7 linked regions of the Mus musculus genome follow. The protein of the gene in region 4 interacts with the protein of the main gene of each other region in a biochemical or structural test. Links are inferred from orthologs where the notes say so. Each region holds a gene or a part of one and is shown on either strand. Other genes may lie near its edges. The genes, in order: Nr4a1, Npm1, Foxo1, Ep300, Eid1, Hdac1 and H2ac21.

The links.
Region 1: the proteins of Ep300 (region 4) and Nr4a1 form a complex in vitro, tested with the Homo sapiens proteins (2 studies listed by BioGRID, with this or other methods). The link is inferred for Mus musculus from reciprocal best matches to the Homo sapiens genes EP300 and NR4A1.
Region 2: the proteins of Ep300 (region 4) and Npm1 form a complex in vitro, tested with the Homo sapiens proteins (2 studies listed by BioGRID, with this or other methods). The link is inferred for Mus musculus from reciprocal best matches to the Homo sapiens genes EP300 and NPM1.
Region 3: of the proteins of Ep300 (region 4) and Foxo1, one has a biochemical effect on the other in vitro, tested with the Homo sapiens proteins (3 studies listed by BioGRID, with this or other methods). The link is inferred for Mus musculus from reciprocal best matches to the Homo sapiens genes EP300 and FOXO1.
Region 5: the proteins of Ep300 (region 4) and Eid1 form a complex in vitro, tested with the Homo sapiens proteins (3 studies listed by BioGRID). The link is inferred for Mus musculus from reciprocal best matches to the Homo sapiens genes EP300 and EID1.
Region 6: the proteins of Ep300 (region 4) and Hdac1 form a complex in vitro, tested with the Homo sapiens proteins (2 studies listed by BioGRID, with this or other methods). The link is inferred for Mus musculus from reciprocal best matches to the Homo sapiens genes EP300 and HDAC1.
Region 7: of the proteins of Ep300 (region 4) and H2ac21, one has a biochemical effect on the other in vitro, tested with the Homo sapiens proteins (2 studies listed by BioGRID). The link is inferred for Mus musculus from reciprocal best matches to the Homo sapiens genes EP300 and H2AC21.

Annotation. Positions count from the first base shown.
Region 1 is NC_000081.6:101,265,404-101,269,645, forward strand, and holds the start of Nr4a1 (nuclear receptor subfamily 4 group A member 1), read left to right. Parts: upstream 1-1,442; 5' UTR 1,443-1,568; intron 1,569-2,607; exon of another isoform or gene 2,608-2,686; intron 2,687-3,529; exon of another isoform or gene 3,530-3,594; coding exon of another isoform or gene 3,595-3,700; intron 3,701-4,242. UniProt on the Homo sapiens protein: Orphan nuclear receptor. Binds the NGFI-B response element (NBRE) 5'-AAAGGTCA-3'. Binds 9-cis-retinoic acid outside of its ligand-binding (NR LBD) domain.
Region 2 is NC_000077.6:33,156,707-33,160,206, forward strand, and holds part of Npm1 (nucleophosmin), read right to left. Parts: intron 3,290-3,500; coding exon 3,228-3,289; intron 343-3,227; coding exon 285-342; intron 42-284; coding exon 1-41. UniProt on the Homo sapiens protein: Involved in diverse cellular processes such as ribosome biogenesis, centrosome duplication, protein chaperoning, histone assembly, cell proliferation, and regulation of tumor suppressors p53/TP53 and ARF.
Region 3 is NC_000069.6:52,344,837-52,348,336, forward strand, and holds part of Foxo1 (forkhead box protein O1), read left to right. Parts: intron 1-202; coding exon 203-1,540; 3' UTR 1,541-1,554; intron 1,555-2,159; 3' UTR 2,160-3,500. UniProt on the Homo sapiens protein: Transcription factor that is the main target of insulin signaling and regulates metabolic homeostasis in response to oxidative stress.
Region 4 is NC_000081.6:81,584,796-81,589,013, forward strand, and holds the start of Ep300 (histone acetyltransferase p300), read left to right. Parts: upstream 1-1,418; 5' UTR 1,419-1,833; coding exon 1,834-1,927; intron 1,928-4,218. UniProt on the Homo sapiens protein: Functions as a histone acetyltransferase and regulates transcription via chromatin remodeling. Acetylates all four core histones in nucleosomes. Histone acetylation gives an epigenetic tag for transcriptional activation.
Region 5 is NC_000068.7:125,671,789-125,675,991, forward strand, and holds Eid1 (EP300-interacting inhibitor of differentiation 1), read left to right. Parts: upstream 1-1,403; coding exon 1,404-1,883; 3' UTR 1,884-3,855; downstream 3,856-4,203. UniProt on the Homo sapiens protein: Interacts with RB1 and EP300 and acts as a repressor of MYOD1 transactivation. Inhibits EP300 and CBP histone acetyltransferase activity.
Region 6 is NC_000070.6:129,522,147-129,525,646, reverse strand, and holds part of Hdac1 (histone deacetylase 1), read left to right. Parts: intron 1-1,326; coding exon 1,327-1,401; intron 1,402-2,545; coding exon 2,546-2,684; intron 2,685-3,142; coding exon 3,143-3,284; intron 3,285-3,500. UniProt on the Homo sapiens protein: Histone deacetylase that catalyzes the deacetylation of lysine residues on the N-terminal part of the core histones (H2A, H2B, H3 and H4).
Region 7 is NC_000069.6:96,218,608-96,220,854, reverse strand, and holds H2ac21 (histone H2A type 2-B), read right to left. Parts: upstream 971-2,247; 5' UTR 940-970; coding exon 547-939; 3' UTR 501-546; downstream 1-500. Other genes in the region: H2ac20 (histone H2A type 2-C), read left to right, coding at 11-400. UniProt on the Homo sapiens protein: Core component of nucleosome. Nucleosomes wrap and compact DNA into chromatin, limiting DNA accessibility to the cellular machineries which require DNA as a template.

The sequences.
Region 1 (4,242 bases), about 20 Mb from region 4:
CACTGAGCTACGCCCTTAGCCCATTTTTAAAAACCGGTTATGGCCAGAATAGGCCGTCATTGGATAGTCTCGGTTAGTCTGCTGCACTGGTGGGCTGGCAGCAGAAATCGGGAACCAGGGGGTGGGGTCAAGGATGGGATAGAGATACTGCAAAGAGAATCCCTAGTAGGGAAAGCTAACCACTGAATCTTTTCTCCATACCCCTTCCTTTCTCTTACCTGACTACAAATGAGGTTTCCTTTAGCTTAGACTGGGATGGAGATGTGACCTGCAGGGTGACAGCTCCAGGTGGCTGCAGCCTGGTCTGCACTTTGAGTACAGCCCTGGCCAGACCCTTCCCTGCAAGCAGTAACTGGTTACAGCTGCTCTCTTCACTGCTGGAGCAGGTAGTGGGGAGGCAGGTGGGTCCCCATCAGGGACTGGGACCAGGGAATTGACAGAAGAGTGTGAAAAGGAGATGGAGTTCGATGGCCCTGGGTTCAAGACCCCATTGTGCTACTACCTAGCTTAGTGACCTTGAACAAGTACCATTATGTCTCTGAATCTATTTATAAAATGGGGAAGAGTTGGCAAGAGTTTGGAAAGATTTCTCAGGCTCCACCCGGTTCTGAAATTCGGCAATTTCTCAACTAGGGTGCATCCATCCTGCGAGGGGTTAAGAGGCCATCGCTGAGAAACCAGCATCGGTGTGGAGCCGAGCCCGTTGACCCAGCCTGGCAAAGCTATGCCCTTTGGGAAGGAACCTTGAAGGCCAGAGTGCCTGTCCTCAGTCCTGGGGCTAGAGACCCTGCACATTGCCAAGGCTGAGGCACGGGCCCAGCCCACCTCCTATCTTCTGGGTGTGTCCCAGAATGGCTTGCCTCAGCCCTGAACTGCCCTGGCTGCTCAGAATGGCAGAGAGTGATACCCTAGGTGTCCAGGACAGACTGGGAAAGGGACAAAAGCGGAGCAGGGCCTGGGGTAGGGGTGGGCAGGAGGGAGAGGGAGCTGTTGGCACCAGGAGCAGCTGGAGGGGAGGAGATCCTGTTCTGGGGAAGCCCTGCGGGCACGGATTTACAACACCCCCTCCTCCTGGTCGGTTATTTCGGACCCCGGGACCCGATCCCGGGTCCGGCTTGGTGAGCCTAGTGGGTCTGGAAGCTACTATATTTAGCCGGCGCAGCGGGCGAGAGGAAAACTATTTATAGATCAAACAATCCGCGCTCCCTGCGTCAATGGAACCCCGCGTGCGTCACGCGCGCAGACATTCCAGGCCCCCCCTCTTCGCCCCGCCCCCTCGGGCTCCCCGTCCCCGCGCCTCCTCCTGGCCGCCTCCCGCCGGAACCGCGCCGCCCCCCGCGCCCTTGTATGGCCAAAGCTCGCCGGGCCGTGTGCGTCAGTGGCGCCCCCGCCCCTCTCCATGCGTCACGGAGCGCTTAAGATGTGGGTCGGGCTCGCCAGGGGAGCCCCAGTGCAGGAGGCTGCGAAAGTTGGGGGAGTGTGCTAGAAGGACTGCGGAGCGGAGCGCACGCGGGACCAGGCTGCGACTGGGTCGCTGGTCCCGGCCACAGGGAGTGGGAGCCGGCTGGGTAGGTACCCCGCAGGGAGCGTGTTTCTGTTTCTAGGGACAGTGCATGAAAGAGATGGGGTGTACGCGCGGGCGAAAAGGAAGGGTGTTTTCGGGTCGGCTTACGAGGAGGGGTGTGTAGGGTGCATTTTTGGTATTAAAGGATAGCTCTTGGAGTAGGGTGAGCCAGGGCTTGAAGTTTAGGAAGCGGGCGAAGGGTCTGCAAGGTGCTTGGTTTTGGTAGGTAGTGGGCGCTTGTTTAGGAGGTTTCCCCGCTAGGATCTCCAGTGTGAGGCACTCTGTACTCTGGGTTTGGGTGTTGATTGCCGGGTAGGGGGTTGTCTGAGCATGGACTGGGAAAAGGTACTCAGAGCTTCGGCGTTGCTGGGATCCATCCAAGTACAAGTAAGATTGGATTTCCACGGGTCTCCTTCCCGGGCTCTCAGCCCCCTTTCCCAGTGTTTACTTAATACTTCATAGGCTGTACTTAGATTTTCTGATTCCCTTACCGAACTTTCTTTCTGAACCGTGCTGGAAGACCTGGGGGTTGCTGAAGGAAATGGCTAGCTAGGTTGGCTGGGTAATGGTTGTGTTAGACTAAGTTGTCAGAGTATCTAGAAACCTAGGAGCTGTAGCCTGGTGCAGCTACTGAAAGCCGCACGTGGAGCCTGGGTGGAAGTTGCTCACGATAGAGTCTCGATGTAGTACTGACTAGGGGGGAGACCCCTTCTGTCATCAGACAGACTTGTATACCCCAGTGGTCTTTTGAGTCTGTTAGGTAGGGTGCAGCCTGCGGGCTTGGTCACCTAACAGGTGTTGCCAGGACCTGCCCCAAGCCGGATTCTCCCACTCCCTCTTTCAACCCCGCCTCTTCCTCCTCCTTGAGACACCCCCACCCCCTCAGGAGGCTAGATGCAGATCTGTATCTTGTGTTGCGGACTATCGGCCTGAAGCTGGGTAGATTGGTGGGGGTTGATCCGGATGTAGGATGTCCAAGTGGAGAAACAGGATTTGAATGGAGCTGGAACAAACGCCCAGTCCTGACTGGCTGCCACCCTTCTTCCTCCACCCCCAACCCATCCCTTCCCAGGCTTCTTGCAAACAGAGGCAGAAGTGGCCATATTTCTTTCTTTCTCCCAGGTGCTGTATGCCCTAGGGACTTGACACGGGGCAGGCGGGGTGGGAACTGGTTGGGGGGGGGGTGCTGTTTTATGGGAAGTCGTATGCCTAGCCAGCGGTGGAGCTGTCCTGGCTAGGCACCCAGGGGTGGTGTGGGGAATGGGAGAAATACTGGGACTAGAGGGTCTCAAGGGCCAGCAGGTGGTGATAGTCTTTTTCTCCACCCCACCCTCTGCTCCAGCACCCTCTGCCTCAGCACCCTCTGCCTCAGCACCCTCTGCCTCAGCACCCTCTGCCTCAGCACCCTCTGCCTCAGCACCCTCTGCCTCAGCACCCTCTGCCCCAGCACCCTCTGCCCCAGCACCCTCTGCCTCAGCACCCTCTGCCTCAGCACCCTCTGCCTCAGCACCCTCTGCCTCAGCACCCTCTGCCTCAGCACCCTCTGCCTCAGTGTTCCTGTGTGACCTGTCTTTTCAACTAGAAAGTCTAGAACTGTACAGACCCCAGAGTTGGAGGTGGAAAGGGACACTAGGTCCTGGAGCCTCCTCTGTGGGCTTTTTTGACCAGATGAGAACGTAAGGGCCTCCTCCAGCTACCCCTGGTCATTCAGGTGCTTCAGGTTTGTGACCTTTGCTGAGACCCTGGATGCTGCAGCAAACAGACATCTGCTTTAGCAGAGGGACAGCTTGTCTCTGTGCATCCGCTGGTAGGATCCTCCACTCTGTCCAATTAGCTTGCGGCTGCTGCTGGGTTCTGAGTGTTCTCTTACAAAATGACAAGGTTAGGGGGCTGGAGAGATGGCTCAGGGGCTAAGAGCACCCATGTGGCAGTTTGCAACTGTCTGTAACTCCTGTTCCAGGGGGGATCTGACACCCTCACACGGACAAACATGCAGGCAAAACACCTATTGGCATGGAAAATGAAAATAAATGACCGGGTTAGCTGAGAAATTCCTTTTGAGAGTTGTCTTTTCTCCAGTCCAGAGACTGCTCTCTGGATCTTCCTGCTCAGTTCCTCGCCTCCCTTCAATATATGGTATTTAAGGTTTTACTTTTTTTTGCGTTTTCAATTGTTTTTAATTGTATTTATATGTGTCTCTGTGTGTGCACATGAGCATGGGTGTCCTACAAGGCTAGAGACATCAGATGTCCTGGAGCTAGAGTTACAGATGGTTGTGAGCCACCTGATGTAGTTGCTGGGAACTGGATTTAGTTCCTGTGGAAGAGCAGTGCATGCTCTTAACCACTGAGCAACTTCTCCACCCCCCCCCCCCCCCCCAGTATACGGTATTTAAAACTCTATAGCAATGCTACCCAACCCATTGTGGAGCTGGGGATGGTGAGGTGGCCTAGTTCCCCCCAACTCCTGGAAACATGTCAGAAAGTACAGAGTGGGTGCCTGTGGGATCAGCATGCGGGGGGTGGTGGTGGTGAGGTGTGGGGCTGCTTTCTCCCGAGGCTACCGTGATAGACAGTTGTACCTTGGCTGGCAGCCTCTACCCCATTTCCAGGATGTCAGTCTCTGCAGACGTATGGGGGAGGTGGGGAAGGGGTATACAGAGCCTAGGGTGTGCCTGG
Region 2 (3,500 bases), on a different chromosome or scaffold from region 4:
TTTGATTTTTGTGCATTTTTGGCTGGGGTATCTCGTACAGACTGCAAGTAGAAAATGGCCTTAATCCATATGCCCTCTCCAGAGTAGAGATCAACTCAGATTAAACTGTCCTAAAACAAACTAATAAATTGTAACTCACATACAGATAGCGTTCTCAAATTTTCCTGTTTAGCTCAGAACCAATTTTTAAGATCAATTCAGCCAGTTTTTACTACTAGCACTAAGAAATTCCCATCCTTTTACTAGCTACCCATGATAAACCTCATAGTATCTCATGTACTCACTTTCTTCACTGGGACCTTTTCTTCAGTTTCCTCTTCATCAAAATCATCATCATCATCACTATAAATGAAATAAGCCAACACACAGAACTTAAATTTTTAGTCAATTTTACAAAAGAACTAAACCATATTCATCCACTGTAGCACAATTGTTAATAAAAGTGAATTTGCACCAGTATTTGAATGGATCAATACTTAAGAAACCTAACAAACATTTTTATATAATACTTGAGAGTATTGTTTCAAAGGGTTGTGTAGTTGATTAATTTTGCAATGTTATTAGTAAATAAATAGCTTCAACCAAATCAGCTTTGTACCAAACCATAAAGAAACTAGGCTTTTTAGAGTTAACATTTAGCCAGGTGTTAGTACATATATGCCTTTAGTGTCCTCTCCTCTGCAGTGTAGGGATTAACTTTTACATATCCCAGTAACTAGAGCAAAGATACTAATTACTTATGCAAGAAATTTGAACAGACCATTTCTCCCCAAACATATGGTCAGTAAACATGTAAGACTGTTAGTCACCTAGGGAATAAACCAAACAAAGATACTGCTTCACACATTACTCTTCAAGAGGTAAATTTAGGAAGAACTCCCACAAGGTGGTGACAGCAACCCCAAATACCTACAGTCAATGACACATGCACATGACTTTTCAGCCCTTAAAAACTATAGGGATCAATTCTGTCAAAAATCAAAGCCAGACCGAAATGGTGGTGATGAAATGTTGCAAAATACTCAAATAATTTAAATGTAGCCAAAGATTGATCAAAAATTCTATAGTAAAAATTTTACTACATTTGTTGATTCTACCTGTCTTACTGTAAAGATGCTTCTGCTTACACTTCATTCCAATGTGTTATGTGCAGTGTTTGACAAGGCTAACTTTATTGGCTCCTCCTAAAGACATATATATGTGGCACTGGAATTAAGCTGCCAGATTGAAATTAACAACAGTCCACCTCCAAATACTTAGTGTAACGTCCTAGCTCAAAAAAGGGTGCTGCTTCTCACTTCCAATTTAGAGCTGAGATTATGATATAAAGTCACATGGCACTTGCTTTAAGAGGAATACAAAATGTTCTTCAGGCATACTGTGATTTTTTAGAAGGGGGCAAATCACATTCAGTATGGCCACTGAAACATCTCCATGTCTATACCTAAGTATATAATGTCCAATTGCTCATACAAAGTCTGTAAGCAAAATCACCAACAGTGACTACATTTTCCACACTAGTGTTAAAGTCAAAAGTTTGAACTTCATGTAAATTACCTTTTCAGTGGGGAGATTCTCTCTTGTTAGGATCTGCTACATGTAAATCCAGTGGTTTTGGTAATTTAACACTACAGGTTAGTATAAAAATGACCTTACCTTACACCCAATCCATGTAGATGCTTGGTACCAGAAACAATACTAATTTCTATAAAACTACTCTTTTCTTCTATCCTAAACCATGTAGTAGTATCAGTCATACCACCAAAACACTATTCCAATGATTTTATCCTTAAGATTAAAAAGGCCCTTGATGCTGGTGGTTTTATGCCCCAGTATAGAGGAATGCCAGGGCCAGGAAGCAGGAATGGGTGTTGGTGAGCATGGAGAGGGGGATAGGGGGTTTTCAGAGGGGAAACTAGAAAAGGGGATATTTGAAATGTAAATAAAAATGTCTAATAAAACCAAAAGGCAATACCATCTTATGAGACCACATATATCTGTCCTTTAGTACAGCAGCATTCAATACTTAGTTCTAACAACATTCCTCAGGGTTATCTTCTAAGCTCTTAAATGGCAAAATAGTCAAAAAAATCTCTGCATAAATGTCATTATTTGCAATATAACCCACTCATCTGTTCTACTCCCCAATTTTTTTTGGTTTTTCGACAGGGTTTCTCTGTGTAGCCCTGGCTGTCCTGGAACTCACTGTAGACCAGGCTGGCCTCGAACACAGAAATCAACCTGCCTCTGCCTCCCAAGTGCATGCGACACCACTGCCTGGCTACTCCCCAAACATTGTTAAACTATATACAATGAAATATATAAAGTCAATCTTGAAATCAAACAATTTGAATTATCTGATCCAGGACTTTAATCCATAGGCTTGTATACAGAGTATGTGTTTAAAGCCTCTTTGCATTCTTTGATCCAGAACTTTCTGGCAATGTGATTAAACTCTCCAACTTAAATAGTAAATAATCTTCAGCTATCATTTTATTCTCGTGGGCATCATCTCTGTATGATGAACCATTATCACACCAGAAGAACTACTAACCCTGATAACCTCAAGACTATTATTTGTCCCTTACTATGTCCCCACTATGAATACAGTAATCAATATAATGAAGACTAGTTCCCAAGTTTGCTTTGAACAGTTATCTTAGCTCAGAATATACTTGACCAATTCCAGAACTTCTATAAGACAGGAAGGTAACAAATATAAGACTACAAATAATAATTCCATACTTCGGGGGGAGGGTATGGGGGACTTTTGGGATAGCATTGGAAATGTAATTGAGGAAAATATGTAATAAAAATATTTTTAACGAATTCCATACTTCCCATCTAGCTGTTACTTATATTGAACACATAAAATCTTACTCCTAACAATAACTCCCAAGAAAAATCAATGTCCCAGCCGGGCACAGTGGCGCACACACTTGGGAGGCAGAGGCAGGCAGATTTCCGAGTTCCAGGCCAGCCTGAACTACAGAGTGAGTTCCAGGACAGCCAGGGCTACACAGAGAAACCCTGTCTCAAAAAAATAAATTAATTCAACCCCCCCATCAATGTCCCACATACAATAAATAGCTTGTTTGTAAGGCAAACATGGAATCATAGGTCAAAATCTTTTACTTTCAAACATCAACCACTGGCAAGTCAATCCTCCTAAACCCTTACAAGTACCTGTAAGATCAAGTTTTTGAGATCATAGTACTTATACTTACTCCTCATCATCCTCATCGTCCTCATCATCGTCCTCATCATCTTCATCAAGTTTTACTTTTTTCTGAAAGAATAATATGCATCCATTAGCAAGAGAAATTTTGGTGATTAGCCAAAGTAAATGCCAGAAATTTTGTTTTTTTTTTTCGATACCAATGTTTCTCTGTGTAGCCCTGGGTGTCCTGGAACTCACTTTGTAGACCACCCCCAGCCAGAAATACTTTTTAAAACTCTTTCCTGGCACACACCTTTAACCCCAGTGCTCGGGAGGCAGA
Region 3 (3,500 bases), on a different chromosome or scaffold from region 4:
TTTTGCTGCACAAGTTTTATTCTCAGAACCCAAGTAAAGGTGGAAGGTGAAAAGAGACTCCAAAAGCTGTCTTCTGACCTCCACACAAATTACGAGCTGTTAGGCTGCTCAGAATGGGCACTGTATATCTCTGATCCCCATTGAGCAGTAAGTTTTCCAAGGGGGGAGTGCTGCACTTCTAACATACTGTTTTGCTTTGCAGAATTCAATTCGCCACAATCTGTCCCTTCACAGCAAGTTTATTCGAGTGCAGAATGAAGGAACTGGAAAGAGTTCTTGGTGGATGCTCAATCCAGAGGGAGGCAAGAGCGGAAAATCACCCCGGAGAAGAGCTGCGTCCATGGACAACAACAGTAAATTTGCTAAGAGCCGAGGGCGGGCTGCTAAGAAAAAAGCATCTCTCCAGTCTGGGCAAGAGGGTCCTGGAGACAGCCCTGGGTCTCAGTTTTCTAAGTGGCCTGCGAGTCCTGGGTCCCACAGCAACGATGACTTTGATAACTGGAGTACATTTCGTCCTCGAACCAGCTCAAATGCTAGTACCATCAGTGGGAGACTTTCTCCCATCATGACAGAGCAGGATGACCTGGGAGATGGGGACGTGCATTCCCTGGTGTATCCACCCTCTGCTGCCAAGATGGCGTCTACGCTGCCCAGTCTGTCTGAAATCAGCAATCCAGAAAACATGGAGAACCTTCTGGATAATCTCAACCTTCTCTCGTCCCCAACATCTTTAACTGTGTCCACCCAGTCCTCGCCTGGCAGCATGATGCAGCAGACACCATGCTATTCGTTTGCACCGCCAAACACCAGTCTAAATTCACCCAGTCCAAACTACTCAAAGTACACATACGGCCAATCCAGCATGAGCCCTTTGCCCCAGATGCCTATGCAGACACTTCAGGACAGCAAATCAAGTTACGGAGGATTGAACCAGTATAACTGTGCCCCAGGACTCTTGAAAGAGTTGTTGACTTCTGACTCTCCTCCCCACAATGACATTATGTCACCGGTTGATCCCGGAGTGGCCCAACCCAACAGTCGGGTCCTGGGCCAAAATGTAATGATGGGCCCTAATTCGGTCATGCCAGCGTATGGCAGCCAGGCATCTCATAACAAAATGATGAACCCCAGCTCCCACACCCACCCTGGACATGCACAGCAAACGGCTTCGGTCAACGGCCGTACCCTGCCCCATGTGGTGAACACCATGCCTCACACATCTGCCATGAACCGCTTGACCCCCGTGAAGACACCTTTACAAGTGCCTCTGTCCCACCCCATGCAGATGAGTGCCCTGGGCAGCTACTCCTCGGTGAGCAGCTGCAATGGCTATGGTAGGATGGGTGTCCTCCACCAGGAGAAGCTCCCAAGTGACTTGGATGGCATGTTTATTGAGCGCTTGGACTGTGACATGGAGTCCATCATTCGGAATGACCTCATGGATGGAGATACCTTGGATTTTAACTTTGATAATGTGTTGCCCAACCAAAGCTTCCCACACAGTGTCAAGACTACAACACACAGCTGGGTGTCAGGCTAAGAGTTAGTGAGCAGGTAAGTTTATTCACTGCAGTATCAAGAGGCCTTTTGAAAAAGGGACACAGTACCATGTGTCTTCCTTCCATGGTTAGACATTAAAAAAATAAAAATAAAAAAAATAAAAATAAAAACGTAATTAAAGACAGGGTCTTATGTAACTCATCCCTACCAGGCCTGGCTTACTTGGTGCTGGGGTCTAACCCAGGGCAACACTGACAGAGCTATGCCCAGGGTTGCATTAGGCTTTCTTCTAATGCCATCTGGTTGCAGGTGCTTACCTGTTATTGTCCTCCCCTCCCTCCCTCCCTCCGTTTATCAGTTTGCCTTTTGGGGTTAAAATAGAGTGCAGATTGCTTTAGCAGCTTTTAAGACTTTCTTTTCACTGTAGGATGGGTTGTGCTTTCTGCCAGCTCTAAAATAAATGGACACATTGGAATCAAATCAGATGCCAAAGGTCTTTTCTTTTCCTCCCATTTTTTCTCAATAAAGAAAAAAAATGTACCCATTGAATAATTTTGTAGCTGTTTGAGAAGGCTGGAGCTTCCCCTACCCCCAACTTGATTAAGTACAATTGAGTTGAAAATGACTATATTTTTATTGTGTGTGTTTTTCCCCTTTAGGCTACATTTAAAAGTCCTTCAGATTGTCTGACAGCAGGAACTGAGGAGCAGTCCAAAGATGCCCTTCACCCCTCCTTATAGTTTTCAAGATTTAAAAAAAAAAAAAAAAAAAAAAAAAGTCCTTTCTCCTTTCCTCAGACTTGGCAACAGCGGCAGCACTTTCCTGTGCAGGATGTTTGCCCAGCGTCCGCAGGTTTTGTGCTCCTGTAGATAAGGACTGTGCCATTGGGAATCATTACAATGAAGTGCCAAACTCACTACACCATGTAATTGCAGAAAAGACTTTCAGATCCTGGAGTGCTTTCAAGTTTTGTATATATGCAGTAGATACAGAATTGTATTTGTGTGTGTGTTTTTTAATACCTACTTGGTCCAAGGAAAGTTTATACTCTTTTGTAATACTGTGATGGTCTCAAGTCTTGATAAACTTTGCTTTGTACTACCTGTGTTCTGCTACAGTGAGAAGTCATGAACTAAGATCTCTGTCCTGCACCTCGGCTGAATGACTGAACCTGGTCATTTGCCACAGAACCCATGAGAGCCAAGTAGCCAGTGATCAATGTGCTGAATTAATGGACTTGTCAAACTTTGGGGCAGAATAAGATTAAGTGCCAGCTTTGTACAGGTCTTTTTCTATTGTTTTTGTTGTTGTTTATTTTGTTATTTGCAAATTTGTACAAACAACTTAAAATGGTTCTAATTTCCAGATAAATGACTTTTGATGTTATTGTTAGGACTCAACATCTTTTGGAATAGATACCGAAGTGTAATGTTTTCTTAAAACTAGAGTCTACTTTGTTACATTGTCTGCTTATAAATTTGTGAAATCAGAGGTATTTGGGGGCTGCATTCATAATTTTCATTTTGTATTTCTAACTGGATTAGTACTAATTTTATATGTGCTCAGCTGGTTTGTACACTTTGCGATGATACCTGATAATGTTTCTGACTAATCGTAAACCATTGTAATTAGTACTTGCACACTCAACGTTCCTGGCCCTTTGGGCAGGAAAGTTATGTATAGTTACAGACACTCTGTTTTGTGTGTAGATTTATGTGTGTATTTTAAAGAAATTTCACCTGCTTTTATTACCCTGTGAGTTGTGTACAGCGCATAGCACCAAGTCTTCAGATAGATGCCACGTGCTTACAGCCTTCTAGGGAAGCCTGCCAGATGATGCCCTGTGTCACGCTGTCATAGTTCCCATGGGAACTCTGTCTGTCGCTCAGGAAAGGGGAACTTTTATCTAAGGTGATGTTCTTTGTCTGACTGGGGTTCGCCTCCTACTACTCTGAGCTGTTGGCTTTTGTCACGATGGAGGTGGCTTTGTGGCTCTGTCC
Region 4 (4,218 bases):
AACTTAAAGGACTAGCAATGTGACTTTGAGATATGAACTGCTGCTTTCGAGAAGGCTATGAAGAGGATGGAATGTGTGTCTACGATGAAACACAGGTGTTTGGCGGATTTAATGGGGTTCCAAAGATCAACCTGAGAGGGCAAACCCCGGGAGCTCTGACCGTGGTTTTCCTTGTTTTCGCAGAGGAGCGCCTGAGCTTTGACTCGGTTCTGCTCAGAGACCCAGCCCAGGCACCTAACTGTCCACCGACCGAAAATACGTTCTAAGTTCACCCCGGACCCCCCCCCCCCCCACAACTTCTTTCAAAACCTCCCCTTTAAAGGGAGCCACCGAGTGACGCCGGGGGAGTTTGCGGAAGCGCCTACCGCGTTGGGGCCCTTGGGCGGATCCCGTGATTGGAGCCGGCACCGCCCCCGGCGCCGCTTCCCCCATTGTGTGAGCTGCAAGGCAGAGGCCCCGCCCTCGCCCCGCCTCCCTGTTTCTCGGCCCCTCCCCCTCTCACCTCCCCCCCCCCCCAATCTTGGCTCATTTCCGGCCGCCGCCGCCGCTACCGCTATCCTGTAAGGAGGATTCGGCAGAGGCAAGAAACAACAGCCGCCATCTTGTTTGTGTGCTAGCCTGTGGGGGGGGTGGGGGGAGGAGGAGAGAGAGCGGAGAGGGACCGGGAGAGAGAGAGTGGGGCAAGCGGGACGCCCGGCTGAGTGCGAACTGCGCGAGCAGGGAGTGAGGAGGGTACCTGGCTGGAGAGCAGCGGCCGGGACCGAGACAGTGGTTGGGGGCCCCGGGGCGCAAAGGCTGAGGCGACCCTCAGTCCCCTCCTTGCCCGCACACACCCCCACCGCAGCCCGGGCCGGCGTCGACGCCTAAGGGGGGGAAACCATTACATAAGCCCGCGCCCCGCGGCGCCTCTGCCCGCCGTCCGAGGCGGCCCCCGAGCCGAGCCCCCGGCAGGCACCTGGCTGCCGGGGGGGTGAGGGCCAGGGAGGCGGCCGGACTGATTTCTCCTCCCCGGGCTTGCGAGTGGAGGCGGAGAAGCGCGGCGCGCGGAGAGGCCGCGTCGGTGGGCTCGGCGTCAGCGCGGGCTTGCGGGCGGACGGCCCTGCTTGGCCCGGCCCGGCCCCCCTGGCCCTTCGGGCCGGCGAGCTCCACGCTCGGCGTCGTCGCTGCTGCGCCTCTGCTTGTCCGCTGCGCGATGTGAGGCGGCCCCGGCGCCAGTCTGGCTCTCGGCTCGGCTGAGCTCAGTGTGGCCATTAGGGGCCGGTGCGGCAGCGGCGGCGCGGAGCGCAGCGGCAGGAGGAGGAGGAGGGCGGCTCTCAGGGTGGGGGCGCAGGCCCGGGAGGGGGCACCGGGAGGAGGTGAGTGTCTCTGGTCGCCTCCTCCTCTCCCCCTTTTTCGCCCCCGCCTCCTTGTGGCGATGAGAAGGAGGAGGACAGCGCCGAGGAGGAAGAAGCTGATGGCGGCGGCGGAGCTCCGAGAGACCTCGGCTGGGCAGGGGCTCGCCGTGGCGGGCTGGGGACTGCGTCTGTAGAGCTGTGAGTTCCCGAGAATTCGCTGCAGCGGACGTGCTCGTGGGATCAGTGTTGCTGTACCCTCCTCCCGGCCTGGTTTAGGCCCGGCCCCTCGCACTTGCCCCTACCATTTCTGTTGAGTCCGCATCCCTCTCCGGCCACCGCAACCAGGCGAAGAGAAAAAGGAACTTCCCCCCACCCCTGTTGGGTGGCGGCGGAGCTCCGGAGCCCACCCTTAGGAGCGGGGCGGGGACCCCGTTTCGGAGAAGAGATTTCCTCAGGATTCTCGTTTTTTTCCTCGGTTGTATCTCCGAAAGAATTAAAAATGGCCGAGAATGTGGTGGAACCCGGGCCGCCTTCAGCCAAGCGGCCTAAACTCTCATCTCCGGCCCTCTCGGCGTCCGCCAGCGATGGCACAGGTTAGTCTCGGGACTCCCGGCCTTCCATAGTTCCCTTCGTCTTTTCTGCTCGTTGCACCTTCATTCCAGGGTGCTTCTGTGTATCTCTTCCCATTTCCCCGGCCGGTGTTTAATTTTAAAGGTTTTTGAATGGACTGGTCGAAGACGTCCAGTAGCCCAACCATTTTCTTTGCCTTCTGATACATTCATTGCAACACTATGTCATGTCAGATCGTTGTGTGTTCTGGAATTAAGAGGTTGGAAGTGGGAGCTGCGGGGACCTTTATTGTTGGCTCCATGCAATTTAATTTGGGAAATGCCGGTACAATCGTGTGTGAGGGCTTTTATGCACTTTTACTATTTTTGTTACTGGTGAATGAGGGATTTCAGCTCTTTCTCCCCTGTTGCAATGAATTCTTTTTTTCTCTGCTTTCCCACCTTTAATGATTTTTGCTCCTGTGAGGCAGATTTTCTGTTGAGGAATGGGGGCGGAAGACAAATCTTGGTGTCTGCGATCCAAGGTTTTAAGTGTAACTAAAGTTCAACAAAATTTCATTCTTAGGTCCCCTCTCCCCATCCTTGCCTCAAGAGTCAGTATGGACCGCAGTTTATTTTATATCCATTTGCCATGAAACCAAAATGTCTCAAACTGCGTGTTGAGGTGTAGACCTGAGGCGTTTCCTTTGCAGTTTGTCACACTCTTACTTAGAAGGGAAAGAAAAAAGATGAAGCCTTTCTGGAATTAGGTACTTAGAAATGGGAGATAATAAGTTGAAAGACTCCCAGTCATGAACTTCCAACTAAAGTGATTGTACAAGTTTAAAAATGAACAGGAGGTTTTGTGCTTGCATGTTTGTTTTGTTTTGCTTTTTGGACCTTTGCAATTCCAGTTTACAAGATGAAGGAATTCTTTTCTCCAGTCAGCCCCTTTGTTAGGAGACCTGAAGGGAGACTCTCCCTTGTCTGTTCTTTTTCCTGCTTACTGTTAGTTTAGTGTTATTCTGATGATCACTGACCTGGTCCTCTCTTGCTGTCTGACTTGTTTGAGAGGCCAGGATAATGAAGAAGAAGAAGAAGAAAAAGAAGAAGAAGAAGAAGAATGGCTAGTCATCTGACAGTCCACTAGATGTTCCTCCTTACTGCAAGCATCCCTTTAACTCAGAGAAGAGGCTCCAGATCTCTCCTTCTGCCAATGAGAGTGTATAGTGGAGTTAAACGTACCCTGCAAGTTGTAGAGAATGTGTGGGCCATGTTTCTGAGTAGGATTTCTATTAAGGCCTGGAAATAAGATAGAACTAGTGCATTACTCTGCTTTTTTAGCAGCTGTATTTCGAACCATGAGTTTTGCTCACCTGCAACAGTTGGGAAGGATAAGTCTTGCAGTGTTCTAAGGCTCTAACTTTAGTTATATGTGAGCATTCAGCTGTAAAGTTTCCGTAGTCTTAGAGAATTTTTTTTAAATTATGTCTTTGAAATTCATAGGCATAGATATTTTATAGACATATTTGCTCTGGATTTTTGTTTCCTCCTCTGCCCCCATAATAAGTGTACTTCTGTAACATGTTCACAAGTTACCATATTTGACATAGCCAGTAACAAGAAATATTATGGAAAACTTTTTAAAATTAAATTTTTGGATGTTCTGATTTTGAGTGACTTAGTCATAAAGTCTGTTCATGTAATTCTGTTCAGATGGACTACTGCATTCTTTATCTGATAAATTGTATAGCTTTTGGCTAACTTTCATGGTTAAAAAAGGGAAAACTTGCTTTGGGTATCTTTGAATGTCATTACTGGAGTCTTTGGGTGGTAGTGGTGGGGCTGGGGTTTTCTTTGTGTGGGTCTAGATGTCCTGGAATTCACATCACCAGCCTCTACCTCCCAAGTGCTGGATTTAAAGGCAGGTGCCACCAGGACCACCAACTTCTAGAGTCTTAAAAAATTTCAATACTGAGATTGGTTTATTCTTAGTAGTAAGGATTATAGTAATATTAGTAATTTTTCTTCTCTTAACATTGTAGTGACGGTTAAATTTTTTTTCTTTTAAAATTTATATACCATTAGGTCGGTTTTATTTTGTTTTGAGACAGGGTTTTTGTAGCTCTGACTATCCTAGAACTCTCCATGTTGATAAGACTGCCCTTAAGCTCACAGAGCCACCTGCTTCTGCCTCCTGTTTGCTGGGGTTAAAGGCCTGTGTCTCAAGGACCTGCTTGTTTCTTTTCCTTTTTTTTTTTTTTTTTTTTTTTTAATTTGATACAGGGTATCACTACATAGCCCTGACTGGCCTACAATCTAGAGAGAAATGATTG
Region 5 (4,203 bases), on a different chromosome or scaffold from region 4:
CTGTGCACTTTTCTCTATTAACATTTCAATAAGAACAAAAATCAACATGCAAAGATTATATTCCAATAACAGCTCATGAGAAACTTCATTTAATGGATAAAGAGGAAGATTTCATACAAATATGTTCAAGTATGTAAAACTAGTAAGGATCATGTAACACTTTGGAGAAAAGTTCGCTGAAGAATATAAAAAATGACCATTGGCAAAAATTATATAAGATAAAGAGGAATGCTATGGAGCATTGTCTCTTGGACATGACAGGGCCATTGCATCCACGAATAATAAACTAAAGCTATGGAAAGATTATAAAGATACAATCAAGGCTGGAGAAATGGCTCAGCAGTAAACAGCATCGGCTGCTCACACTAAGGACCAGGGTTCGACTCCCAGTAATCACAGGGCAGTGTACAACTGACTTCGTTTCTAGGAGTTCCAACGCCCTCTTTTGGCCTCTGTAGGCACAATGCACACACGTGGCACACAAACATTACAGACAGGCAAACAAACGCATACACACGAAAGAGAGATCAAATTGATAAAACTTAAGTTTACTTATATTAATTCCATAAAACAATACGTGGTAAGGGTGTGGATATTCTCAAACACTATTGGCTACAGTTTAAGTTTGTAGAGCAACCGTGGCGCGTGATTATCTGTATATATTTAAAATATGTATAGCCTATTTTCCACCTTTCTTTATCCTAGTACTCACACATGTATGTGGTTTAGTTTCCCCATGGTATATACGTGTGGACATACACACAATTTATCTTTGGTTAGGTCAACTTCAATAAATTCAGAAGAAAAAAACCGAAAAGTTAAATTTTCTCAGTGCGCAGGACGGGACTAGTGGGATTTGAAATGGTGAGAGGTAATGGACATGCTGATCACAGGAACGCTGGGGAGGCAGGGAGGTGGAGGAGAGATGGCATCTGTGACAGAAGGCCAGGGCTTTCCATCTAGGCAAAGCAAGCACTTGGCAAGGAACTTAGAGCTGGTCTCCAGGTGGGTCACCAGCGGAAGCATCGCGGGTCCTGAGTGGGTGTGAGGGTGAGGTGGGAGTCCGGGAAACATAGGGGGTGAGGGGTGGGAAGGGAAGAGCTCGCGCCCGCGCCCGCGCCCGCGCACCACGCCCCCCCCCCCCCCCGTGGACCAAGCGGCCTACTCGCCAGCACACGCACGCCATGCTGGCACGCGCACCACGCCCGCCTACCCGTTTGCGCACGTGAAACGTGCTCCGCACGCGCATCACGCATGCCCACTCGCCTGCGCACGCGCCCCCCCCCCCCAGCTCGCGCTCCACGCACGCCCTCTTGCCTGCGCACGCGCACCACGCCCGTTCGCGCGCCCGTCTCTGCAAAAGGTTCCTTTTTTTTTTCCACCTTGGTCGAGTCGCTTCCACCATGGCGGAGATGGCAGAGCTTTGCGAGCTGTACGAAGAAAGCAACGAGTTGCAGATGGACGTGCTGCCCGGCGAGGGCTATATGGAGGTAGGCCGCGGGGCCCGCGGGCCGGCCCCGGAGGAGGGCCCCATGGAGGAGGAGGCCGGGCCGGCCGCCGCCCGCGCCCAGCGCGGTCTGTTCCCCGAGGCTGGCGCGGACCTGGAAGGCGACGAGTTTGATGACTGGGAGGACGACTACGAGTTCCCTGAAGAGGAGCGCTGGAGCGGCGCGATGCACAGGGTGTCCGCCGCCCTGGAGGAAGCCAACAAGGTGTTCCTGCGAACCGCGCGAGCCGGAGATGCCCTGGATGGCGGCTTTCAGGCGCGGTGTGAGAAGAGCCCTTTCGACCAGCTAGCTTTTATCGAAGAGCTGTTTTCGCTGATGGTTGTCAATCGACTGACCGAAGAGCTCGGTTGTGATGAGATCATTGATCGAGAGTAAATGCTGACGAGAGAGGAGGAAACTACCTGAGAGGGAGAGATTCAACATTCTGCTATTTTGGGGTTCATTCCAAATAGTTCTGTGCAAAAAATAAAAACAGTTGGTTTTTGTTTCTCGGAATAGAAGACGGGACAGTGAATGACCATGCATTGTGGAAAAGGAGAATCGAGGAAGGAGGAGTGTTAAACCTGAGAATCGCGAGGAGAAAAAGACCAAATCGTTCCTCTTTGGTCTCACAGGGGCTCAGCAAAAACCTCTGGTTCAGACTGTTGATCGAGATGATTTTCCTTACATTGGAGAAGAGCTTTCTCTGTTAAGCTTTTAAAGATGGTTTGGAAGAGTAAATTGTGACTACCAATACAAGAATCTAATTAAAGAATGGGGGGAAATACATTCCAAGATGTCTTTAATTCGAACTGAAAGGCTATTGAAAAAAAAAAAAACTTTCCAAATTCTTTTTGGTGATTTATACACATCAGTTATCAAAAGCTAAACTTGAGGTTTAAGATTGAGTATTCATCTACCCCACAGAGTAGTCCAAGTAAATGTGGGTATAAATGTAGACGTGTTATCATGTGTGCTGTCATCTTAAAATGTGTTACAAACGCTTCTGGAATTTTGACTGCACATGTATCTTCATGATTTATAAAGCTACTGTGACCTCTAATTTGGAAAAACCCATTGTAATGATTTTCAAAGTAAAGAAAGAAACAGGATGTCTTTTTAAGGTTTTAAGTTCATGCATTAAATAAAATGTATGGGAAAGCCCAAAGACAAACTTTCTAATACCCTTTTATACTAGGGAAATTTCACTTGCTGTTTTGTACCTTGACAGATGGTAAGACTATAACTGAAGTTCATATTGTAAGAACTGTTTGCTAAAATTGTCAAGTAAAAAGAAATCCTGCCTGTATCTATAAAAAGATGTATGAGCTATTATGTTGTCAAACTTTGAAGGTTTTAAACCTACCCAGAAGTCCACCTGGGTGTCTGATATTCATATTCTCTCTCTCCCTCTCTGCCTCTTTCTTCCCCTCCCCCTCCCTTCTTCTAATTATGCTTGTTAATCTTTATGCACCAGCATTGGCGATAATAAATTTTCTTGTTCTGTGTATTTTGCTTTGTCTAATAGCTTTGCATACATGCTTTATACAGGATTCTCTTGCTGTGTGTGCCACGCCTCCATCTTGATATTTAAACATCCAATGCTTACAATGTAAACCAGTATCAAATATCCAAAAAATGGGTTCTGGGATGTTAAAGCAAATTTCAGAGTTTTCTGGAAGACCCGCTCTGTGAATGTGATGCTATGGCTTAATTGATGCTGAAGTTCCTTGAGAAGAAAATGATGTATTAGCACGATGTCCCTGCTGATGCCACCATGGCAACCAATACAGAACAGAGCTGAGACAGTAGGATAACTCCTGGGTTTCTGTGGGGTTGGTTGGTTGGTTTTACAGTCATCTTGTTTGAGAGGCTGCCGAGGTGGTTCAGTGGGTAAAGGTACCTTCTGCCATATAGCCAAGCCTGATGGCCTGAGTTTGATCTCTGGGGTCCATGTGGTGGAGGGAGGGAGAGAGACCTCCCCCAAGATTGGGCAGGCCTGTTAGTAATTTTAGACCCTCACCTGGGATTTTAGTTGCTCCTGTACCTCCAAAGCACCTGTACATAATTTTGCCCCGGTTACATGTGGTTTCAGAAGGTGCTAAAACACAAAAGGTGGGAGGTTGGCTGATGTTAGGTGGGGACTCGTGTTTGGGAAGCTGTCACCCATGTTAGGGTAGGACATTTAGATAGAGCCGCTACAAACACTTCCATGGGTAACCCCTCAGCCCTCTTTTTTACTCACCCAATAAATTGCCTCACTAGTTGGACTTGAGGGAATCATTTATTGATCTGTTATTGGTATTTACCTGCTGTAAATAGACTTTTGTTCACATCTCCACAGAAATATAATACAAATATCCATAAATTTGAGTGTATTTGTGTTTGGGGACCAAAGTATATCGTGGAAGTTAAGAGGAGAAGCCATGCATTGGTATTTCTTTGTATCCTTTATTCTGCATTTATCTATCTATCTATCTATCTATCTATCTATCTATCTATCTATCTATCTATCTATCTATCTGGGAGATTCATGCCACAGTAAGCAAAGGGCAAAAAATAACCTTCAGGAGTTGCTTCTCTCCCAGCATTTGGGTGGGGCCTAGGGATCAGACACAGGTCATCAGGCGTGGTAGTAAACTCTTTTACTCACTGGACCCTCTTGTATTTATCTTTAGTTTTGTGGCGATAGGGTCTCACTATGTAGCTCCAGCTG
Region 6 (3,500 bases), on a different chromosome or scaffold from region 4:
CTCGCCCCTGGCCTCAGCAGCCACTTTCCTTAGGTTTTTGTGAGAGCCTGGGGCTGCTTCCTGTCTGTGTGGTTTCATTTGCATTAGTGTTTGTATGTGTTTCCACCTCATGCCCTGCTTGGTACTTTTACCTCATGGGCCTAAAATAACTCGAGTTATCACTTGGGTGTAGTCAAAGCACTGGCCTGTAGTAGTCAGGATACCTAGGTCCTATTCTGATTCTGATACTTATGGTCATACAGCCTTCGGCAAGTCACTTACTTCTTTGCATGTCCTCGTTCCAGTGCACGCTGGTCCTGTCTTGTCCAGGTCTTGGAGCTGTGAGTACTAAATGAGAGTCTATGTGCATAAAGCACTGTGGAAGGAGCAGGATACATTGTCTCAGGACAGGCAGCAGCAAATCAGGAGGCTTGAATTGTGCCTCTGTGTTAGCAGTTCGTTCACTTCTCTGAGCTCATTTCCCCATTTATAGGACTGGGCCAAATTCTACCTCAGAAGATTATGTGGGGATAAATGGATCAGGTGTTTAAAGCACTCAGCAGCATATGAACTCTTCCAGTACTCAGCAAGTAATTCTATAGGTCTCTGCTCACTTGGCCTTTCTGAGTCAGTTTCTTCATTTCTAAGTTCGGAAGGCAGTCCACCTCAGAAGACTGTGCGAGGATACGTGTATCAGGTATTTCAAGTGGTTAGAAGTGACAGCCTGCTGTAACACTCACCACGTGAGGAGCATACAGGTTTCCTTCGCCAGCATTTGCCAAATTGCTAAACACTTTCCTGTAAGATTTTTAATGTTGTATGCATAGTCCTAGCTACTCAGAAGGCCAAGGCTTAAGGAAAGGTTAAGCCAGGAGTTCAAGACCAGCTTGAGGAGCACGGTGAGGCCATGTCTTCAAAATTCCGGGGGAGGGTCTGTTAATTTTTTCACTGGCTGGTTGAAATGAATTTCACTGTTGCTTATTATCATTAATAGCATAAATCTCCAGGAAGTTAGCCTGGGCTAGAACCCAAGCTTTCTGAATCTAAACTGTTGTTTTCCTTCTCACTGTTGTAAAAATCTAAATAGAAAACTGAAGGAAGGGCTGGTGAGATGGCTCAGTGGGTAAGAGCACCCGACTGCTCTTCCGAAGGTCCAGAGTTCAAATCCCAGCAACCACATGGTGTCTCACAACCATCCGTAACAAGATCTGACTCCCTCTTCTGGAGTGTCTGAAGACAGCTACAATGTACTTACATATAATAAATAAATAAATCTTTAAAAAAAAGAAAAAGAAAAGAAAACTGAAGGAAACTGTGGAAGCTAACCTTTGCCTTATTTCTTTCAAGTCAATGTTGGTGAGGACTGTCCGGTGTTTGATGGCTTGTTTGAGTTCTGTCAGTTGTCCACGGGAGGCTCTGTCGGTAAGGAGACTAAATCTGCTTCTTGGGCTGTGCTGGACAGTTGCTGGGAGATCTGTCTGCCTTCATTACGAGTGATTCTGTGGGGTTTGACTTTCAACCTTAAACACAGTACTGACAGCTGTTTTTAATTCTCCTCTCCTGCCCCAAGAGCTTAGATGTGGAAATATCCTGTAGGCTTTAAGGGGCAGTTTGTGAACGGCAAAGACCTTTAAAAATGGAAGATCAACGTCTGTGTCTTATGAAAGAGTCAGGTCATTAACTTCTGAAGTCATAAATATTCCTCCCAGGTCATTTGACTGTAACTCTGAGATACCTTAGAACGGCCCCAAATCCTACCAAATGCAGCCACTCATGGGTTAAGGCTGGAGACACATTCTGAGAAATGTGTTCGTATACAGTTTGGACAAAGGTAGATGGTATAGCCTCCTGCACATCTGTACATGTGGTGTACATGTAGTACATGGTATAGCCTCCTGCACATCTGTACATGTGGTGTGCATGTAGTACATGGTATAGCCTCCTGCACATCTGTACTTGACATGTAGTATAGCCTGTTGTTTCTCAGCACCTGGATGAATAGAATGTGAGATTAAATCAAACGCCAGAAAAAATGCAGGGGCAGAGGCACTTACTGCTTATTATGAATAATTACTGCCCTTGCTCAAGGGTTTGGTTTCCAGCCCCCATATGGCAGCTAACAACTTAGAGTTAACTCTAGTTCTAAGGGCTCCAGTGCCCTCTGGGCACTAGGTACTTATGGTGCACATGCAGACGTGCATATATATCTGTGCAGACAGAATAGTCAGACAACTGTAGACACAGTATACAGGGGTGCAGCAACATTTCTGTTTTAGTTGGGGGTTTTGTTTCGTTTTACAATGAGGTCACTCTGTAGCCCTGATTTACCTGGAACTAACTTAGTAAACCAGGCTAGCTACAAGCTCAAGACGTCTGCCTGCCTCTGCTTCCTTAGTGTTGGGATTAAGGGTGTGTGCCACCACCAATAGCATACACAACAAACCCTGCCTCAACAATACCAAAAACACCCCCTTAAAACACTGTAAAATGAATAAAGTACCTCCCATTGAGTTGGCAGGGCAAGGGGAACGGCTTAGTAACAGGCTTGTGCTCTTTCCTTGCTCAGCAAGTGCTGTGAAGCTTAATAAGCAGCAGACGGACATCGCTGTGAACTGGGCCGGGGGCCTGCACCATGCAAAGAAGTCTGAAGCTTCTGGCTTCTGTTACGTCAATGACATCGTCCTGGCCATCCTGGAACTGCTAAAGTATGCCTGCCTGGCCTTGTGTCTTGGAAGAGCACCTTAGGCCAGGTCCCACTTCCCTCTACCCCTGGGCTTGCTTCCCTAGTTTGCTTTTCTTGTGGCCTGCTGGCTAGGATGTGTTCCATGAGTGTCTCTGGCCATCCTCTCCTTTTCGGGGTCTTGGTTTGATCTGAGCCCACGGCAAGATCTGGGGCAGGCGCTGCTAAGATCCTGCCTCCAGAGTGTCCTTGTGTGACTGGAGTTGACCCTGGCTGTAGAGTAGGAAGATCGGACATGGTCGGCTTGGTCAGGCCTCTGGAGACACCCCGGCCACTCTTCCACCTTCCTTCAGCCAGTTTCTACGTCTCTGGTGCTTAGAGATACCTGAGGGAGGCAGCTAGCCCGGTAAGCTGGGACCTGGCGCCCTTGGCGCGTCCCATCCCCAAAGAGCCCCCAGGGCCCTTATCACCTTCTGATCCTAGGTACCACCAGAGGGTGCTCTATATTGACATTGATATTCACCATGGCGATGGCGTGGAAGAGGCCTTCTATACTACAGACCGGGTCATGACTGTGTCCTTTCATAAATACGGAGAGTACTTCCCAGGAACTGGGGACCTACGGGTGAGAACTCCCTTTAGGGACCAACCAACTCACCTTCAGCTCTAACTCTCCTATCCTGTGTCATTAGAATCTACTTCTTGCCTCTCTGCCATTGAGAGTACCACATTATTGTTTGGGCACCTACACGACCTCATTCTTTATTCTGGAAGAGGACTGTTAGGATGTAAGGGGTCAAGAGAATTGAGGGTTTTCTGGCTCATTGTCACGGCCTCCTGA
Region 7 (2,247 bases), on a different chromosome or scaffold from region 4:
ACTCTAAGTTATGTCTGGCCGTGGCAAACAGGGAGGCAAGGCCCGCGCCAAGGCCAAGTCGCGGTCTTCCCGGGCCGGGCTACAGTTCCCGGTGGGGCGTGTGCACCGGCTGCTGCGCAAGGGCAACTACGCGGAGCGCGTGGGCGCCGGCGCGCCGGTATACATGGCGGCGGTGCTGGAGTACCTAACGGCCGAGATCCTGGAGCTGGCGGGCAACGCGGCCCGCGACAACAAGAAGACGCGCATCATCCCGCGCCATCTGCAGCTGGCCATCCGCAACGACGAGGAGCTCAACAAGCTGCTGGGCAAAGTGACGATCGCACAGGGCGGCGTCCTGCCCAACATCCAGGCCGTGCTGCTGCCCAAGAAGACCGAGAGCCACAAGGCTAAGAGCAAGTGAAACTCAACACGAATCCAAAAAGGCTCTTTTTAGAGCCACCAAATCTTTTACAAAGGAGCTAGCTAACGCGCCAGTTTGTGACCAGCCCTTTGGATGACACTTTGGTGGCTCTTAAAAGAGCCTTTTTGTGTGGAAAGGGATAATAGTTATTTGTTCTTTCCAGGCTTATGACTTTCCGTTTTCTTCGGAAGTAAGACAGCCTGAATATTGGGGAGGACCCCGCCCTGGGCGATGGTGACTCCCCCTAGTAACTTGTTGAGCTCCTCATCGTTCCTCACAGCTAGTTGCAGATGGCGCGGGATGATGCGCGTCTTCTTGTTGTCGCGGGCCGCGTTGCCCGCCAGCTCCAGGATCTCGGCCGTTAGGTACTCCAGCACCGCCGCCATGTACACCGGCGCGCCGGCGCCCACGCGCTCCGCGTAGTTGCCCTTGCGCAGCAGCCGGTGCACACGCCCCACCGGGAACTGCAGCCCGGCGCGGGACGACCGCGACTTCGCCTTGGCGCGGGCCTTGCCTCCTTGTTTGCCACGGCCAGACATGGCGGAATAAGCAATTTCTGCTGCTTTTTCCAAGGGAAGGATATGGAAAGGTGAATTTATAAGATCTATCGGGAGGGGTGAAGGAAAAGTAGCTTGATTGGCTTAAAATGGAGCTGTCTCCAACAGCCAATGGGAAAGCAGAAGCTAGACTCGGTGGTTTACATCCTGCAGTACAGGAAATGACGAATTTTTTGAAAAAGGAATTTACCAATCGATGAGAGCCACATTTAAAGGCCCTCACTTACATCGTAGGATTTTAAGGGCAGAAGAATTTCGCGGAGCTGTTTATTGTGGTAATTTATAGAGGTTTGTTTTGTTTGCCCAGTTTAGAGCTGAAAAATCTAAACAAACAACCAAGAGCACAAAACTCGAAACACTCCCCTTGAAGTATGGGATTTTGCTCTGTCCCCACCCCCACCCCGGAGCTTTAAATTACTCTCCATGTCTCACACAAGCAGGCTCCGTAAAGGAATTAGGAAAGTTGCTTCGCTTCCTTACCCTTGACAGTGGCTCCCCATCTTTGCCCCTGGGTCGTTTGACCAAGGGCTAGATGACATTGTATCCATCGTCTTTGACCTCTAGGAGGTGTCTGCCACCACCTTTTCCCTCTAGCTTTTAAGATGTCCTCGTTTGATCTGGGGTTTTCTTTACCCTGCTCCGGTTCTCTCCCCACTAAAAAATCCGCGAGTTCAGCTGAACTGTCCTATCCCCAGCTCTTCCCTCTGGCGAGGCTTACAAGCTTCCAGCTAATTCAGATTCGCTTCACAAGCTCAGACTCCGGTATCAGGCGTTTACTAAATGTTTAACTCGTTTGTCTCAACAAGCATCATATTAGCATCTGAAACATGAGCTCTGCATTCCTTTGCCCTATCCCAAGAATTGCACCCAAAAACTTTCAGGTACCAAGATAAGACGGTGGGGGGTGAACGGTGAGGGAGCCTGTTAAGGGAACTGTATCTAATTCTAGAAGTTACAGTTACATTCTAAACTATTCTTAAGTTTGCAGGGTATTTTGTTAGCATTAGACAGCCATTCTGCTATGCAAGTTCTAACAACATTAACTTTTGAGGCATTTGGGGCTGAGAACAAAACCCAGATAACAGGAAAATCTCGTACACATATCCCTGGCACCTTGTGAGGTTCTGCTTAAAGAGTCAGTGAACCCCCTCGCCTTGACCTCTGGTTTTCTTCTCAGTGATCTGAGTTGTGAAGAAGGCTAACGGGACAGAGATCGCTCAACCCAAGTGTGATTCACCCTGTGCTATAGGCCATCTACAAAGTGGATGTAATTTTCTGTTTTGTGGGTAA